Drosophila melanogaster: one gene and its partners. The protein of the gene in region 1 interacts with the protein of each later gene in a pairwise test. Each region holds a gene or a part of one and is shown on either strand. Other genes may lie near its edges.

Evidence for each region.
Region 2: the proteins of CG7546 (region 1) and CG3906 interact in a two-hybrid assay, tested with the Drosophila melanogaster proteins (one large-scale study listed by BioGRID).
Region 3: the proteins of CG7546 (region 1) and CG1317 interact in a two-hybrid assay, tested with the Drosophila melanogaster proteins (one large-scale study listed by BioGRID).

The regions. Positions count from the first base shown.
Region 1 is NT_037436.4:7,509,024-7,517,065, reverse strand, and holds the start of CG7546 (uncharacterized protein), read right to left. Parts: upstream 6,081-8,042; 5' UTR 5,690-6,080; coding exon 5,624-5,689; exon of another isoform or gene 5,556-5,623; coding exon 5,438-5,555; exon of another isoform or gene 5,362-5,437; coding exon 5,150-5,361; exon of another isoform or gene 5,097-5,149; coding exon of another isoform or gene 5,094-5,096; coding exon 4,338-5,093; exon of another isoform or gene 4,281-4,337; coding exon 3,674-4,280; intron 3,544-3,673; coding exon 3,445-3,543; intron 3,249-3,444; coding exon 2,712-3,248; intron 2,418-2,711; coding exon 1,485-2,417; intron 1,426-1,484; coding exon 1,289-1,425; intron 1,241-1,288; coding exon 1,016-1,240; intron 951-1,015; coding exon 600-950; 3' UTR 1-599.
Region 2 is NT_033778.4:23,510,786-23,514,385, reverse strand, and holds CG3906 (uncharacterized protein), read left to right. Parts: upstream 1-2,160; 5' UTR 2,161-2,185; coding exon 2,186-2,809; intron 2,810-2,900; coding exon 2,901-2,999; 3' UTR 3,000-3,100; downstream 3,101-3,600.
Region 3 is NT_037436.4:2,367,329-2,373,917, forward strand, and holds CG1317 (uncharacterized protein), read right to left. Parts: upstream 4,612-6,589; 5' UTR 4,335-4,611; coding exon 2,778-4,334; intron 2,721-2,777; coding exon 1,311-2,720; 3' UTR 1,302-1,310; exon of another isoform or gene 1,098-1,301; 3' UTR 515-1,097; downstream 1-514. Other genes in the region: CG8993 (uncharacterized protein), read left to right, coding at 4,954-5,135, 5,198-5,444; mRpL23 (mitochondrial ribosomal protein L23), read right to left, coding at 5,581-5,739, 5,801-6,094; CG9004 (uncharacterized protein), read left to right, coding at 6,468-6,589.

The DNA of each region.
Region 1 (8,042 bases):
CTGAAGGCTTATCCACTTGAATAGATCTGCACATTCCGGATTGGTCGTCATCGGCCGTCCAGCAATCATGTGCCATCGGCTCACGTCAATGGCGATTTGGCGCCGGCCAAAATACTTGGCTGGAATTCGGAATTTGGCTGTCGTCACGGGTCTACGGGTCTGTTCTGATTTTGCAGCACGTCATCCGACGCGGGGACGCCACCGCCATTTGGGACAATTGAAAGCATTCCGCTCGGTGTGTGGTCTAATATCCAAGTCCATTTAATCCAATTCCAATCGCCATTGTTTCGGTTAATATGTGTGTTTATTTTGCTCATTCATGCACCGCAAAAATTGTTTTTGATTGGGCTCTGTTGCGTCTTGACCCATTGTGTGTGTGTATCTCTGTGTGTGTGTGGATAAATATCAGTTGGATATTATTATTCTAAATAGTTTGAAGCATTTGCTAAGGGTCCACTCCGTGTGTTGGTGTTGTCGCAATCTTCGTCGTCTTCTCGATTTAAACAGAACTTAACCATTAACTAAATTAAATACAATTTATTAAAGTAAAATGTACAAGAAGCATTAGGTGGCCAGGCTTCCGTCTCCGTATCTGCCCCCTACTTTTGCTCGGTGAACTTGGCAATCTGCGGATACTTGCTGGTCTTAAAATCCACATCCCGCTCGGTACGCTCTTTTAAACTATTGCGCACCGCATCCGTGTAGGCGGCCTGAATGGTGGAGTCGTGAGCAATGGATCCGATTACGGTATCCATACTGATCGACGCGTTTAAGGCGCTACCACCATTGCTTCCACCCAAGCCGACGCTCTGGATAGCCCTCTGCACTCCATTAGCAATGAGACACTCCACGCTGGCAGTCGGCTTTTCCGACTGAATTATCTTGCGGCGCTTGGCGGACATGCCCGAGATGTAGGCATCCGAGAAGGGCGGCTGGGGACGATTACTCTGCTGCAGGATACATAGATTGAGACATAGTTTAGTGTAATTCCAGAAAGTTGTACGGAATAACCTACCTCTGCCTGGGTCTGTAGGTCGCGCGTTATCACAGGCAACCAATCATTGGGGAAACTCATGTGCCAAGGCTCTGAGCCCACAATCACAGCTGGTAGCTCGTCTGCCGGTGAACTGTTGCTGCCGCTGGCGGTCACTTCGGACATCTCAACATCCGTGTCCAGAGTTTGCTCTTGCAGCTGCTGCTGTTGTGGGTTGAAAGCAAAAGGAGGCGGCGCCACAAATGGCTATTAGTGCATAAGTTTCTGGGCATGGAAAATAGTTTGGAAACCTACCTCGTCGGCAGCTGTTGGAGGAGCTGCTTGAATGCTGCGCAAGACCAGGAACTGTTGGGCATCCACTGTGTCAGTTTGGGCGGGAATCGTGGGGTCTATGTAGATGCACAAAAACTGCAGGGCTTCGTTGCGGAAGTCTGCAAAAGAAATATTGAGTTAACCAGTATACTTACGATCACTTTTGGTGTCAACTTACTGGATCGCATCGGTGCGCAAAGGAGGCGCATTAGCTGGCGCCAATAGAGCTCCGCATTCGCGCTTCCAAGGCACAGGAAGAGAACGCTGTATAGCCGCTTGCGGAATTGGTCACAAATCTGTTTGAGACTTTGCTCGAATTGAGCACTATCTACACCGGCCGGAGCTCCATTACAAAGCTCGATGATCAAACGGAGGCTGACACGCAGGATGTTGCACACAGAGTCGCGCGAGTTGTACTCCGGACGCTCGTACTGCGGCAGGTAGACCAGGCTCTCCCCGAACCAGTCTAGTGCGCGACCAATGGCCCCCGGAATAGTCTGCTCGTTGATGGGTACTCCGACAAACAGGCTGTCGTTGAGGAAGGTGCGCAGTTGCGAACGCAGGTTGTTCGAGTCTCCGCGAGGAGTGGGTGTGGATGTCGGCAAAACAGTTTGTAGCGGAGCAGCTGGCGTGGTTGAAGCAATTGGGGCAGCTTCTCCTGATGGTGAGGCGGCCGTATCTCCGACGGCGGCAACTGCACTGCCTACCGAAGCTGTTGGCGCATTATTTCTCATATTATTAATCAAAAAATTAGCGAGTTGGGTGGGTAAATGTCTGGACAGGCGACTGGTGGCGGCCTGTAGTCGCCCCCTTCGGCCAGAGGGCAAGCCTCCGTTGGTGCTGCCACCGCCAACGTGGGCCGTTCGAGTCGCCAGCCGATCACGATTGATGGTCGATCCTCCAACGGGCCGCACTCTCCCGGCTCCGACTCCGGCCCCATTGGTACTGCCAGCACCAACGTGGGCACTTGGTATATGAGTTGTTTGGGTCTGCGCCTGCGCCCAGGCTGCCGGTCCCAGGTTGCTTAGTTGCTCGCTGGCTGGTCGCTGGCGACGCGACGACCACATTGGGCGGATTGTGTTACTGCCGCGTTGGATGCGACCAGTGGTGACTAAATGATGATATGGATAAAATGGAAATTAATGTCAGAGATGGAGGCCAGTCGGAGGTCGAGATAGCAAATAAATAGTTCTTTAGTATAGTTAACTATTAAATTTTGTAAAAATTTTAAAATCGTATAGCATTTAAAGATTTATCGCGCCCTGATCCGACAGGTTTTTGATACACTTGGCTTTCCATCTCCGGTTGGTGAGTGTGCAAATGAAATGGATTGGTGGATTGGCGAAATGGATCGTGGACATAAGGTAGTGTTTGCTAGATTTCCCCGGATGGGAGCCGTACTCACCAGGACGAGTTACTGCAGCAGATGTGGGCGGAACAACGGTGGCTCCTCCTGCTGGTGCTGTCGAGGTGCTGCGACTGGTACTGTTGTTTTGGAGCAGCTGCTCTGGTTCCCGAATGTGATGACTATTGCAAGGCAGAAAGCGGTCGAATGCCGTGTGTGTCGGAGCAATGCGTCCGCCCCAGTTGTTGTTTCCGCCAATCTGAATCTGTGGTCTTGATGTCGAGCGCGTTTGGGTGGCCGTGGTGGGCAAGGTATTGGCCCTCTGATCGCCACTGCGTGTTCCACTTGATGTTGAAGCTGCATTTGGAGACTCTCCATTGCCCGACGCAGGCGCACTTTCAGGGGAGGAGGATTCGGACGCAGACTGATCTGCTGTTTCGTTCGATCCAGCTGCCGGAGCCTGTCGCACGGTCGTCATCACATGCACGGGCAAGTTAATCGACATGACGTTGGGGGCATTGAATTCCACATGGATATCGTTCGGTCGTTGACCATTGACCATTGCCTGAATAATTCGGGCCATTTCCAATTGGGGATCTGTAAAGCAGCAGTAACAGCTCTTTGAAGCGTTCAGTATAGCAAGGGTTAATTTGTTTAGGGCCGGGTCAGTAAAAGAATCAAACTAGCAAAGTGAAAGTGAAACCAAAGTAGGGATGCAGTGAGTGAGCAGCTAAGATTATGGTTAGTCTGCCATGACTGAGGCGTTGGATTCAACCGAACAATCAAAACATACTGGGCGGTGGCAAAGTCACTGGCACATAGACACGCAGCCTAGGCACTGGTCGGGTTTCTCGTTCGGGAGTTTCACTTTGAGCTTGATCGTGGTCGTGATCTAGAATATTTTCAACAAATAATACGGGAATATTTACGATTCAGAGACACGAATTCCTTGTCTAAGGCCATGAGTGAATTTGATTTTGCACAGCCTCATCTGCATACAGTGTTTGTATAAAGTTTCTTACCCATTTCGAGACGCTGTTGCTCTTGTGCTAGTGTTTCAGCACCTGCAGCATTTGGCCCCACCATAGGCTCGTCGATGGGATCCTCTACTTGATCACTGGATAAATCGCGAGCGGCGGCGGCAGCCGCATTCGCAGCTCCAGCAGCCGCACTGGCAGCTCCGGCAGCCATTTCCGCAGCGGCTCCAGCAGCTCGACTGGCGATCTCCGCCATGGCCGCTGCACTGCGACTGGCATCGGTGGCCGCCTGCAAATTGGCAGCCTGCGAAGGTGCCACAGCAGTTGGAGTGCCCGCGCTGGTGGGCGTTTGAGTGCCCGCTGTGGTGGCCGTTTGAGTGCCAGCTGCAGAGGCAGAACCAGGTGCTCTATTGCGGAAAGGCTCGTTGATAATACCCGAGGGCGGTGCCAAAAAGTTGGGCGTGAAGATGTTATTGGAGCGTATGTAACCGCTCTGCTCAACGAGAATGGGTCGGCAGGTGAGCACACGTGGCCCTGGCTGCGACAGGTCAAGCATTAAATCGGATATAGCGTGCTGGGCGTGCGAAAGGTAGTGGAAAGCCTCCGAGACGCGATCGAAGATGCGCTGTGCGTTCTCGCGACCATCGGTGTCCTAAAAAAGGAATTTAATGTTTTAATAGGCTTATAAGAGCTCGGCTTATTAACTTACACTCTCCTCAAAAGTGGGATCATTCTGGAGAATCTCATAGTACCGATCAACAAAAGGCGCCAAGCGAGCCTGTACGCCACGATAGTGCTGAATAACTTGGGCCAACACCTGAGGACGAGTGCGTCGCCTGGGTCCTGAGTTGTTGCCGCCTTCGGCAGCCGCGTCATTTGCTGATCCAACCGAGGATGTGGGAGTCTCTGCTGCAGTGACTTGCTGGCCACCAACTGCTCCTTCCGCCTCCGGCTCTGGTGTTGGCGTGACCGAACGATCTGATGCTCCATCGGCCACTTCGTCGTCCGTTTCGATAACATCCTCGATAATCACAGTAGCAGCTGTGGTTTCACCACTAGCATTACTTGCAGCTCCACTGGCTGCTCCCTCACTTGTTATAGCTTCGGCTGTTCTCTGCTGGCTCGTCTCGCCATTCTCATTGGTATAAACCGTGGGCAGCTGAACCACCGTATAGTTGCGTGCTCCTGTATGCGAAAGAGCAGCGGTCACGGCATCTTGGACCATATCGATGATGTTATTGTTGCGTGGCAGATCAGTCGAGGAGACACCTACTTCCACGACTGTGGACTCCATCGACCAGCGACCGCGCTGCAGAATGTCCAGTGATTGATTGTTCAGGCCAACGGCAGGATTTTCCAGATAAGCTGCTATATTGTCAGCGCAATCGATCATGTGCAGGGCGACCGTGATGCGGTTAATGCAGAAGGACGACGAGTTGGGATAACGATTCGGTGGAGGACGTGTCTGCTAAGATACGTTTAAATACGCGTGTTGAAAGAGCTTTCATCTTAATGGCTTACCCCAGCTACTGGACCATTGTTCACCGGTATGGCCATGGTGCCCACCAGCATTCCATCGAGGGCGCGGAAGTACGGAGAAGTACGCATTCCGGGCGGCGGCGGACGTGCCACATTGCGGAAGGTTCGCATGGGTTCATCATTGTTGCGGGCATTGGCTCCGCGCTGCGAGAATGGTGGTCGTTCGGCCACATGGAGCACCTTGCCATCCACATCTGCATGGGCATTGATATTGTTGTATTAGATATAAGTGCATATATATATGTGGGTGCTCCCGGGGGCATGACTCACCATATTCCTTCACCTGCTTATCATCGACCAGAACGCGACCCTGGTAGATGATACGCTGGTTTTCCGCCGCAATGTTAGTCTTCTCGGCTATTTGGTCCTTGAACTGGCGGATGGTGAGCTGGAAATGGGTGGGGTGCATGGATATAAAGAAGCCCCTAGACCTGGACACACAACCTCAAACATTACCTCATTGTCGATGCTGAATTCGTGGATGCGCGCATCTAAGGTCTTCACCTTAAGGTTTATGAGCATTTTCCGGCCGGACTGCGTCGCAAATCAATTGAAAATCTCGTTTTTCTTTCGGTTTTCCCCGTGCCGTGCAAAAAAACAGTCGAAAAGGGTTCGTTGGTGGAGGGGGGAAGGCGGGGAATCTTGTCGGTGTCGCTGTCACCTGCTCTCTCGCTCGCACTCGCTGTCGTTGGCCTTTGGCTTTTCCGGACACGTTTTCGCACTGCTCAACTAGCGGTAAATATGTATACGTTTTCACTGATCTCCGCCTGCTTTCGGATCGGGCAAATATATGCTGGGCTTCTATGCTAACGCGCCGAGCGACTTTGCAATTCAACAACAGCAGTGGACGAGAATAATTACTGGAATTTGACAGTGTGGCAGTGTTGCCAACTCTCGGAGTGAAAGAGCAGCCAAATGCCATCTTGTAAAAAGCTAAACTAGCAGGTATTGATAAATAAATTCCGTTTTAAAGCAAAAATTAAGCGATCTGTCAAAAATGATATGTATTGTATGGAGCAGTTGAAAATTATTTTATTGAGTTTGGTAACGATTACAAAAATTGGAATATGCAGATAAATAACCTTTTTTCTGAAGCTTAAAATATATTATAACAAAAATATATTATAACAACTTGTCTTAAGATTAAAATATAATATATTATATTAATTTGTCTGAAGTTTAAAATATAATAGCTGCATATGTCTACAAAATAGATAAGTTGCCAGCTCAGCATATAGTACACAAAATGTCCTAAAATACCCAAATTATTATTTCAGTGGCAAACACAAAGAAGAATACAGCACTGTTAGCATTGACTCAAACCAGAGTGCACGAATTTTTTTCTTGTCTGGCAGCCCTAAAAACCACTTAGGCGGTTCTTTTGAATTTGTACTAAATATATTAATCTGTTTTATTTATATTGTTTTTGAACATTCTTTGCTATCCTAACCTAACCGAAAGGTATAATATCTCCAGGGAATTGCCTAGACTCTTGCCCACAATGTAAAGCGTGTGGGGCATGAGCGAGATGAGCGCTATAAAAACGTTTAAAGAACTGCACATGTGAAATACAATTCACCCATCAACCTTTTCGCCCCTAACCCCACACCAACCCTTAATCACCCCACCGCCTTTGACTGCATCCTGTGGGAATTTTTGGGCACTGCACATGAAAAGCGGCGTTTGAATAATAAAGAAAAGAAAACACGGAAAACAGGGGAAAGTCAGCCAAGACGCAAAGGTGTAGGGCAACTTTTCGCTTTGAATATTTAAGTGGCGCTGTGGCATCGGTAGTGGAAGTAAAATAAGCAGAAGGCTGCGAAGGAAAGCCAACCGCAGCTAACACAATTTTTCGCATACCCCTTGCCGGAATTGTGCGGAAATTTGATTTAATGTCTGCGATTGTGAGCCTTTCCACGGGCTCAAAGTGATTGCGACGAGCCCTTATTTTCCGGACTGAAAAGATGCCACGGAAATGGGCAGTGGCAGATTGCCGAGTGCACCATTCTCTTTGAGGATTTTTTTTTTTTTTAACTGAGTTTTTAGCAAGCAATTGAATGATTAATTACAGTATTTTCAAAAAAATACCTTGCTTAAAGTTTGTAGATTTTTTTTTTAATAATAAAAGATGTTTTTGTAAGCTTGTTGTCAGGATATATGCTATGTTTAAATGTTTGATTCCCAATTAAGCATTTTGAGAAAATTGATGTACAAATTACAAACAGTTAATTGTATTAAAATGCTCAGCCTACATTTCGCTTACAATATGGATTATGCTTGGCGTGAAAGTATAAATAATAATTATTAACGTTTTTCACCGACTTTGCGCGGTCCAAGTGCAAGTTTTACAATTTACAAATTGCTTTTAAATGGGCTGTGAAAAGTTTTAATGAGTTTTCCACGCAGCCGTCCTTCATCTAAGCGCCCAGTACATTCCGCCCACCGCCTTGTCAACGATTTCTGTTTATGCATTTTCATTTTCATTATCATTCCCTTTTTTTCGACCAGCACTGCCCTCTCGTTTTCCGCTTTCCATTTGTTATTAAGCTAACGCTTTCCGTTACTTTTTATTACTTTTTTGCACCAAAAGTTTTTCCTGTCACAGTGGGTGGGCGTGGCACTACATTGAAAGTGTTTTTTTTTTTTTGTTGTTGTGGGCGGGGGCAAAGGTCGCCTTATGAAATTATATCAATCGGGCAGATTGATAAGTCGCTGCTCTTGGCAGCTGGTAAATGACATTTGCTTTTTCCAATTGTTCATATTTTCATTAAGCAACATTTGAATTTTCCCGAATGTAACCTGTAATCGCTTCACTTCAGAATCAGAATTAGAAATGTATTCAAGTACGAGTTTCCGCATTGCATGGCTACATTTC
Region 2 (3,600 bases), on another chromosome or scaffold:
CCACTGTCTAATATTTGATTGTGTTTTTAGTCCTGCTGCCAGTGGCTTTAAGTGTGTTTGTGTGCGTGGCAGGCAGGGGATGAGTGTGTGTGTGTGTGTGTGTGCGCTGGGCCCTGGGAAATGGGAAATAATGCGCCTAGTGCCAGCTCCAGTTGGCAGTTTGTTGGCTTTCAGCTTTGGTCGCTAATTAAGCCTGTTTATCGAAGTAAGTTAGCTGTTCAACTTTCGCTCCACAGCCCCCCCCCCCCGTTCCACATCCTTCGCCAAGATGATCGGCTCAGTTTAGTTTAGTTTTATCAGCTAACTAAATTAGCTGTCTGCCTGTCGGCATATGTATGCATTGTATATGTATATGAATGGCTGTGTATATGGAGTATGGATGAAGTGTCGCCACAACTGAATTGGGGAGCGTTTCTAAGTGCTGTAATAAAGCGATTCACGCAAATGCCTTCGAGTTCGGCGCTTTAATTGAGTAAATTATTGGGGGAAATGAAAATGGTTGGCCAGATGCGAGCAACTTTGTGGCCATGTCTTGCTGACGTGCGGTTATCGTGTGTCACTCGCCTGCGGAAACGGGCTAAAAAGTGGCTCTGCGGTTTGCTTTGGTTATGACAATTTATTGGCCGCCAGCATTAATTAAACGTTAGTCAAGGTCAGGAAACCGCAATTAAATAACGAGCGGATAGTTGAGGAAAAGCGCTCACATGCAAAGTGAAATGTGTGTGTAGCATGCCATGCCATTTTCCGGGCCAAAAGGGGTCGTTTGTAAGCCATCTGAGCTGAACTTCACCTTTGGCCAAAAGTTTGCACACTGCATGCAGTTTATTTGCTTCATTTGAGCTGCTGACTGCCGAATTGAATTGAATTTTGTACCGGCTGCGCCAACTATTTTATCCACTGAAATAAATCGCCGATTAAGCTTAAGTGGAAGCAAGTTTAACTACAGGAAAATTGGAACTATTTTCTGTTGTAAAACTCGCTGCAATTTGTATTTTTCCCATGTCTCCGAATTCGCAATTGAGTTCGAGCATTGCAAAAAAATTGCAAAAAAAGGCGTAAACATGAAAACAAAGCAAAAAAAAAAGAAAATGTTGAATGGAACTATTTCCGGTCCATTGGTTGGCAAATATTTGCTACATTTGTTTGTCATGAAAGCGGAAGAGATATCTTCGGAGCCCAGAAACTCATGACAATTGCGGCAAGATAAATGTGCCCAGCGAGGCGCATGATTATTAATATTATTACGCAGAATTTTTCCATTTTTTCCTGAATTCGCCAGATTTCATTCAATCCATTGAGTGCCGAAAAGTGCTGGAAACTTTCGTCCGAGCTCGAATGGAATTTGAATCTCCTGCGAGTAGCTCTGCAAACAGAGGGCCATGAATCAAGCAAGTTGAGGAGCGAAGCCCCTGGCCAAACAATCACTGCCCCCCCTCTGGACAGCTGGGTCCTTTTGCTCCTGATGCCCCACCAAACTTGTTTTGCACTCTGGGGTCTGAGCACTTGGTCCTGTGGATAAACGTTGGACTCACTTTGACGAGTCCCCTCGTCCTGTTTTCTCCCATCCTGCCAGAACTACGGAACTAATGAGTGGGTTTGACCATACATACTACATTCACTCCCCCAAAGTCATAATCACATGCACACAGACGAGGAGCATCAGGTGCATAAGTCATAAGGCTTTTTGGTGGGCAGCATGGGAGCAACTCTAATTTGCAATTAATGAAGCGCAGAGCCCAGAGATTATAAGCGAATTTCGGAAATTATAAGCTCTAATGGCAAACAATTAGATGTTGTGCACTAAGAGAACATCAGATAAATAGCACAATTCATATCCTATATATCCTGCTGGTTTATTCACGAAGGAATGAACAACCCACTTTTGTGAATCATTGTTTTCAAGTGTGAAAAGATGTTTAGAACACGATCCGCTCTTATCTTGGCGCTAATGTTGAATAGTGTTTACCATTTTCGCACATATGACACGGCTTGTTTTTGGCCAACTGATAAGCGGAAAGTGGCTCGGACGAATTCCGCTAATTGGCAGGCGATAAGCGATGTGTCCGAGAAAAGGGGAAATGCATGTAATTGACTCTGCCGCCGATGGGAGGGCCATAAAAGCAGGTGATGAACGGCGGGTTCCGGCCACAGTTAACTTGAATCTCGGCCAGCTAAAAAGGAGACGATGGACGCGAAGACGTTGATACTGTTGACCGTGGCCGTGGCCATATTCGCCTGCCACACGATCGCACAGCCACATTACATTGAGGTGTCCGAGGAATCAGAGGAATGGTGTCCACCAGAAAATAACAATACCGATAATAACAATCCGAATAGAACCGATCACGACTCCGCCCTGTGCGCCAACTTCCAGCACATTCGCGCTATGATCAATCAGGAGGCCCTGCTCAATCTGATCGAGGTGCACTACAATTGTGATCTGAAGTTCCGCCGCGCCATGCGGTACTACAACACAGCCGGATTCGAGAGGACCACCCAGCAGCTCACGGATACGGATGCCTACAAGACCGTTCTCAAGGAACTGCAGTCGGAGAGCGTGGATACCGCCGACATTGAGACCGTGGCGGATATCTTCCATTGCATCATACTGCCCGTCCGCCAGCCCGATCGCAACTGCGACTGCAAGGCCGTGAAGCACCACACCTTCGTCGGCGATCTGCTCTCCATCATGCCGAAGCAGGAGGTGCACAACTATGTGGCACAGTCCCAGGCGAATCACACCAACTTCGGCAACTTCACCAAGGCGGTGGTCTCCAAGCAATTCCAGGCCACGCTCAAGGCCAACATTGTGAGTAGACCCACTCGAGTTGAGTACACAAGAGTGTGGCAGTGTATTAACTCCTTTACTTCTCATTCTCACTTCCTCAATTATCCTGCAGAACAAGCGCGACGTGGTGAAGCCACTGCGCACCCTGCGCAAGAACGGCTGGGACATCCCAGAGCTGCTACGCGCCATGCTGACCATCTTCCAGTGGTGAGTGGAGTACTCGTAGCCGGAGTGGAGTATTCAATGTGTCTCCATTGTATGTATGTAAGCCCAATAAAGCAACAAGTGAAAGGAAACTGTTCCGCAGAAGCGAACTCACGGTTGACACCTGTCCTGTTTGTTGGGTGCGGAATGTTGTGTGGCAGTGGGTGGTGCAATTACCACCCGCCGTGCCCGGTAGGACATCAACAAGTTTTCAGTACGGCCTCGTCGCCTTCAGCGGGCTCCACTTGTAATTGGCATCCATGGGTGGTAACTGCAGCGGAAGTGTCGAGGAAGGAAGGATTCGTGTTGGAGATAATCGATCCACGACATTTTACGTGGTTCTTTTCATTTCAAACCATTCCGCCTGCAGCCATTTCCATTTCCATTACCCGGAAAACCTGAAGTTGGCAGCGTATATTGAGGCTGTTATCTACAACTTTCTTGAAGTAACTTTGCATTATTACTTAGGCAGCTCTGGAATATTTGAAATTTGTTCTTTGAGTCGCGGAATTCAAAAGTGCGCCATAGTATATTTTAAATTGTTTGATTTTACATTCAGCCACGGAATTTCTTTGGCACACAACTTACACCTTAAAGCCAATTGTATT
Region 3 (6,589 bases), 5.1 Mb from region 1:
AACAATTTAAGTTGCAAACATTGAAAAGTTTTCGATTTCTGTTTTCTATTCTATTCTATTTGTCGCACAACAAATTCGCAACAGTCGAAACTTTCTGGGGGAAAGCGAACAACTTTTCAGCATTTTTTTTAACAAGGAATATTCGGGGCGTACATCCTGAAATCTCCCTGCTGTCGATCTCCCTCCAGCTGGTCATCCCTCATACGCTCCGTTTGCCGTGGGCGAGACTCGTTTCTGTCAATTGCCGGTGGCACACAGGGCGTATGATTGACATCGCCCCTCACTTCGCTCATGGCCAACACAGAAGGAATTCAATGATTAGCTCACTTGAGCGAAGCGCTCATCCATTGACTCCACTTACATTATGGTGCTTCATTTAATATGTTTGGACGTTGATTAATTGTCTGTATATATTTCTTGTACTTTTCGACGTGGCACAACAGATGCCTGGATCAATTTGTTTGCAGGAATATTGTGTCCCCATCAGCTATAAACAATTTCGAATGCTCCTTTTGAAGTTTAAAGTTTAATTTATTAATTAATTTTAAATCAGTTATATTTATAATGTTACATATGTAATTTTTACAGTTCGTAAAGCTAACTCGAAAATGTTCATTTTTCTATTCCACTATCCATTCATTTTTCACCACTTTTACCATATGGGATTTGGTTTTTTTTTTTTTTTGGGGTTTCTCTAAAGTTCCTAAAGTTGACAACTCTCAGATGTAGTTTCTGCATACGTCTCTAATACAAGGTTTAATCGCTGCCCATCGTTTAGTTCTGTAAGTGCTTGTAAGGATGTGGCGGAAGTCAAAATATCATACAACTTAGGATCTATAAACTGTGCAGCGTAAGGATTTAACAACAATTGCAGCTAACAAATTAATCGTATTGCAAAGGATAATAAGATTGGGAAAACAAAGGTACTAAGCTATAACGAAATCCAAATCCAAATCCTTGCGTAACGCAGAGCAATAGATACTAAACAGGGGATATATATTAGCAGCAGAAGCATCTCCACGACGAAAAAGCACGACGAATACTTCAACGGCTTCAACATTCTGGTGTCCTTCTCCTTGTCGGGTTGAAATAAAAATCTTTAAATAGAAATTGGACATGCTTTAATTTCTTAAGATAGAAACAAAAGATTGCCATCATTATTATCAATAGAAAAACTTAAATATTTCAAAGAGTTTAACAATTTTAAACGTGAGAACCTAATAGCCTCCATGAGCTGATAATTTATTGATTCCCCTCCTCCTGTCGCACATATTAGAAACTGAAAAACCTACGCTTCGCACCTGATCTCGTTACAGAAGTTCAGCCAACTCGAGCTCCTGGACCAACTGTTCCCGCTCTCGCTCCCGATCTCTCTCCTGGTTCTCCCTTAATTCCCGGGCCGCCCGCTGTTGCTCCTTCTCCTCCTCCTGCTGCTGTTGCTGCTTCTTGCGGTGCTCATAGTTGACCAGCCTCTGACCCACCAGGTACTTATCCACCTTGATGGACAGATAGAGCTTCTTCAGCTGATCGATCTGGAACAAAAGGATGCATATGCTGCCCACCACAATGAAGCTTACGGGATACACGAGCCGTGCGACGACATGCTGAGCATAGGCGTCCGCTAGGAAAATCGGAAACATCATATGTGCCATGACATAGGGTATGGCCAGGGCCAGACCAATGGTAGTAACGACCGGCACAGCCAAGTCTCGCATCACAAACTTCAAGTCGAAATCGCGCAATCCATCCATGTAGGCTCGATCTAATGCACGCTTCAAGTGCCAATCTGGGCCCATCATCGTCAAGGCGATGGCTATCTTGCAGTAGAGCACTCCCAGCGCCCAATCCTCCCATAGGAAGTGGATTGGTGTCTTGCGTAGTGGAACGCGTAGGGGAATGACCACCGCCAACTCGATCAGCAATCCAATCAGCAACGGAACCAGCACGAAGATTCCCAGGAGTGTTAGAACGGGCAGGGCATATTGCAATGCCACTCGGACCCAGTGCTTTATCTTGTCGACAATAGCCGCGCGGCCTTGTGGCAGCAGGGTGACCACCGCAGCTACTACCCGGCAGACAATCCAGCACAGGTAACCACCAAGCTCAGCGGTGTACAGCTCATGCGAGCGCAGTAGTCGCTCGTTCTTTCTGGCTCCTTCCGGATCGATTGGATCTAGATTTTCAACCACTTCGCCCGCTCCTTCTGCGGCTGCCGCTCCAGCTGCCTTCTCATCCGGCTGGGAGGACCAGATCAACATCAGCCGCCGACCGATGTAGACTGGAACCGTGAGCGTCAACATGGCAGCACAAACGATGGACAAACACATGAGTGCCAACAGGGCACACAAACGTAAAGCGAACAGCGATGGCTTGTCGTACGGCTGGAATCCCACGGGTGCATCCCGTTGCATGATGGCCTGATGGGCGGCGGCAAGGTTTCGTGGTGCCGGCGCCGGTTCCACTGGCGGTGGCGGTGGAGGAGGTGGTGCTGGTGGTTGGGCTGCCGCATCCGCTGCCTCACCTTCCTGGTTTTCATTTTCGCCAGCGGCATTCTCCACGCCTTCTTCTCCAGCAGCGGGAATTTCCGGTTCCGGCTCCGGTGCTGGGAGCAGGTAGCTTCGTATGCCCAGCAACCAGGCCACCGCTGTGCACCAAATGCGCAGCAAGCCCTTTAGCCAGATGCGTGTTTGGGTCTGCTCGAAGAAGCCCGGCAAAACGATCTGGAATGGCGAGTTTAGATTGTTTAAGTTATTCAAATAAGTTTGCGGGTAACTTACTTGTAAGAGCAGCAATTGCAAGTTAACCGCTGAATCGCCACTAAGTGCATATGGCAAGAAGTCCGGACAAACCACCTGCAGAATTCTAATGGGCAGCCAGAGCATCAAGAGCACTGCAAATCCAAAGATCATAGCCGAAGCGACCAGCCGCCGGATGTGTCTCACAATTGGTACATGGATCATTTCCTGGATGGGACTGAAGTCAGGATCGTTGACATTGCGGAATATCCAGAGCACTCCCGGTCGCAGCACCTCGCGCAACAACGATACAAACGCAGCGAAGTAGTAAACGTATACCATGCCAAACATCCAGTGGACAAAAAGTGAGGTGCCCGGAGCAGCCTTAAAACTCTCTTTACGATCCTTGAGGCTGGCATCTAGTAGGGGCAACGAACAAATGTCCAGCCACCAGCCGCAAATCAGCGGGAGTACTCCGATCTCCAACACCGACAGCAGCGACACCTTGACCACAATATAGCACAATCCAATGAACCAGCAGACTCTCCGCAGGCGGAAAACTCTGGAGAAGAAGTGCAGCACCACCAGGGTCAATCCAATGCAGCAGTAACCAAATAGCGTGGTAATCAGGCCGTGAAAGTGTAGCAGTGGTTTCTCGGGCTGCAAAAGATCCATGGAGCTCAGAATGAAGTTGCCCACGCAGTAGGGACAAAAGGCGAAGGTGAAGATGAACATGGTGTTCAGTGAGATGATCCAGAAGACGTGCTCCAGAAAAACTAGCGAGCCATCGAGTCCGAGCAGGCGTTCCCAGGTAAGCTCCTCGGCAGCCCGATCCCACTCCATGGGATTCCAATTCTGCTCATCGGCATCGGCGTCCACGACGGGAGCTGCAGCCGCTGGTGCGGCATCCTGGGCCTGGGCATCCTGCCCATCGTTGTCCGCTGGAGCCGGCGCTTCATTGTCGTCGGCATTGTTGTTGTCGTCCTGAGGCTGTGGAGCTGCCTCGGCGGCGGGATCAGGCGCAGGATTAGCAGCCGCTGCCTGTAGAGGGGCATCGTCCCGCTCCAGCCAATCGGGTCCGCCGCCATGCAGGATCTGCTCGCGCAGCCAGACCAATCCTATGAAGGACAAAAGTGTGCATGTGACCACAAAACAGCCCCGAAAGGCATCCGATGCCAGGTTTTCAACGGAGAAGATGTCAAAGGGCAGCGTGAGAATCATATCGAAGGAGCTCGCCCGGAAGAGGTACCGATAGGTCCTGTAGGCAGACAGCGGCACCACTCCGAACCAGGCCAAACCGACCAGGGTGTAATGAAGCCAGCAGCGAGCGCCCTCCAAAACGGCGGACATCAGTCCCACAAGGACATCCTTTATCGGCAGGACTCGCGGCATATCCGGAGCATAGATGGGCTGAAAGCTGAAGCTGTAGCTGCACAGCTCGCAGTATTCCTTGTGCGAGTAGCGCATCCATAACATCAGGCAGTCCTGATGAATGTACTTGATCGATCCAGTGCAGATGCACGGGTAGAAAAGAGGCCTATCCGGCTGTGCCTCGCATCTGCACACGCGGCAAATGTCGCCCTGCGACAGGTCGTCCATACTGATAACTTTTTCCCGGATCCTGGGTCTTCAGTTTGACTGAATTACTAAAGTTCCACTGGTCATTTGCGAAATTCGCTGGACAATTTCCGTAATTGACCCGAGGGTACGGGGGTTTTAAGACGATTATACCCGCCTTTTATGTGCGCCAATTAACCTTTCGATGATTACGGACCGTAATGCGATTGTAACACTTGAATTTTAACCGAAAAGTTGGGATATTATTACGACAAAACAAAACAAGACTACTTCTCAAAAAAAGGAGAGCCAATGTGTGCACACCATGAAATTGCTGATTATTTTCTCAACGGAGATGCCAACTAGTTCGATAGATTGAGAGAACGAAATATCGTTATTCATTTTTTAATCATAAATTGAAAATTAAAAAAGATTACATAGTTATGGTTAATAAATATAAGTTTTTAACTTAAATAATATAAAACAAAATTATCATGACCGGGAAGTAACAGTTAATGAAACAGTGTGTGCACACATCATTAGGCAATACCAATCCATCTGGCAACCCCACCACACTCATTGTTGTTGTTCTGATTCTCTTGTCATTATTTTGCAATCAATCGCTGAACTTTTTGCACTGAGAAATTGTAGAAAATAAGCCATGCAGCGACAGATTATTAACATTCTGGGACAGACGACGCGTCGCCTGGCTAGCGGCCAGCAAATTCGCATGCTGTCAGTTTCTGCGCCGCGACAGGAGATCTTCAAAGTCCAGAGCGCCGAGGACTTTGACAAGAAAGTAAAGAACAGCCAGCAGCCCGTGATTGTGGACTTCTTCGCAACGTAATTTTTATATTTTCAATTTGAGGACATGGCAAATTAATGTTTATATTGTAATCCACCAGCTGGTGCAATCCCTGCAAGCTGCTAACCCCGCGCATCGAGAGTATTGTGGGCGAACAGGCCGGTTCCATCAAGCTGGCCAAGGTGGACATAGATGAGCACAGCGAACTGGCTCTGGACTACGATGTGGCCGCCGTGCCCGTGCTAGTGGTGCTGCAGAACGGCAAGGAGGTGCAGCGCATGGTGGGACTCCAGGACGAGGACAAAATCCGGGCCTGGGTTGCCGCCGCCGTCAAACAGGCCAAGTAATAATTGAGAAATCCCAAAAAAAAAGTGGAGGTTGACCTCCTCGCAAATAAAGCTGAGCTTTAGGTTAATTCGGACTTTCGAAATAAATGTTTATTTACCCGTTGAAACGAAAAGTACTACGATTACACACTAAAAACTAAATGGAAAACCAGCCCGGCGTGCCGGGTCGCTTCTTGTTCCTGTCCAGAAATCTGCGGAAACCGGCTTTCGATTCATCCAGCGACTTTTCCTCCTTGGCCTGCTTCTCAGCCTTTTCGGAAAAGAAGTCGGGGAAGACAAAGGACTCCTCCCTGGGCTGGAATACACAAATATCATTGGAAATATCCATTGAATCAGGGGCTTGTAGTGGGCCATACCAATGTTACATAAGCCAGCTTCACGTCGTCTTTTTTGGTGATGTAGCCGTAGGTCTGATCCTTCTTGGTCTCGCCCATGGCAATCCGAGTACGCACATCCACCACCGGCAGCTTGTAGATCTTCTCCAGATAGTTACGCACATCGTACTTGGTCATTTCCATGGACACCGAAAAAGTGACCACATTGGGTGGCTGTTCCTCCGTGGGTCGGATTAGCTTCATCCAGAAGTTGGGAAGGAAAACGCGAAGCTGCGGATTGCCGCGCTGATAGATGGGATACCACCTCGTGGACATGATCTAGCCAGGATCTAAGATTCTAATTCAAGAATACAAAAATTAAATTAATTGTTGTGCGTTTATGAAATGCACTAAAAAAGGCCAAAGGTTTCGGGCGGACACAGGCGTAGCAAGGGGGTCGCATAAGATTGTTAACTAAAACTTAACGTATATATTAATTTAAGTTATTACGCTGTAACTATAAAATATTCCACACTTTTACCACTTTTAAAAAATAATATCACTAAATCTAGATTCCTCTCAAAGAACTGTTACCTACACCCGTGTAAAAGCACGTGGGTTGTCCAACACTTGTTTTAAACAGCTGATTGTCAACCACAACAATTTTTAAATTCGGTCCGGCTGAAATCTCTGGTAAAGGCCGTTTAAAATGGCAAAAATAAAGAAAAAGGAGGCGAAAGCTAAACCTTTGACTCGCAAGGAGCAGAGAAAACAGAAGTCGGAGTTCAAAAAACAGAATAAACGACTTTATTTCGCCGGCAAAACTAACGG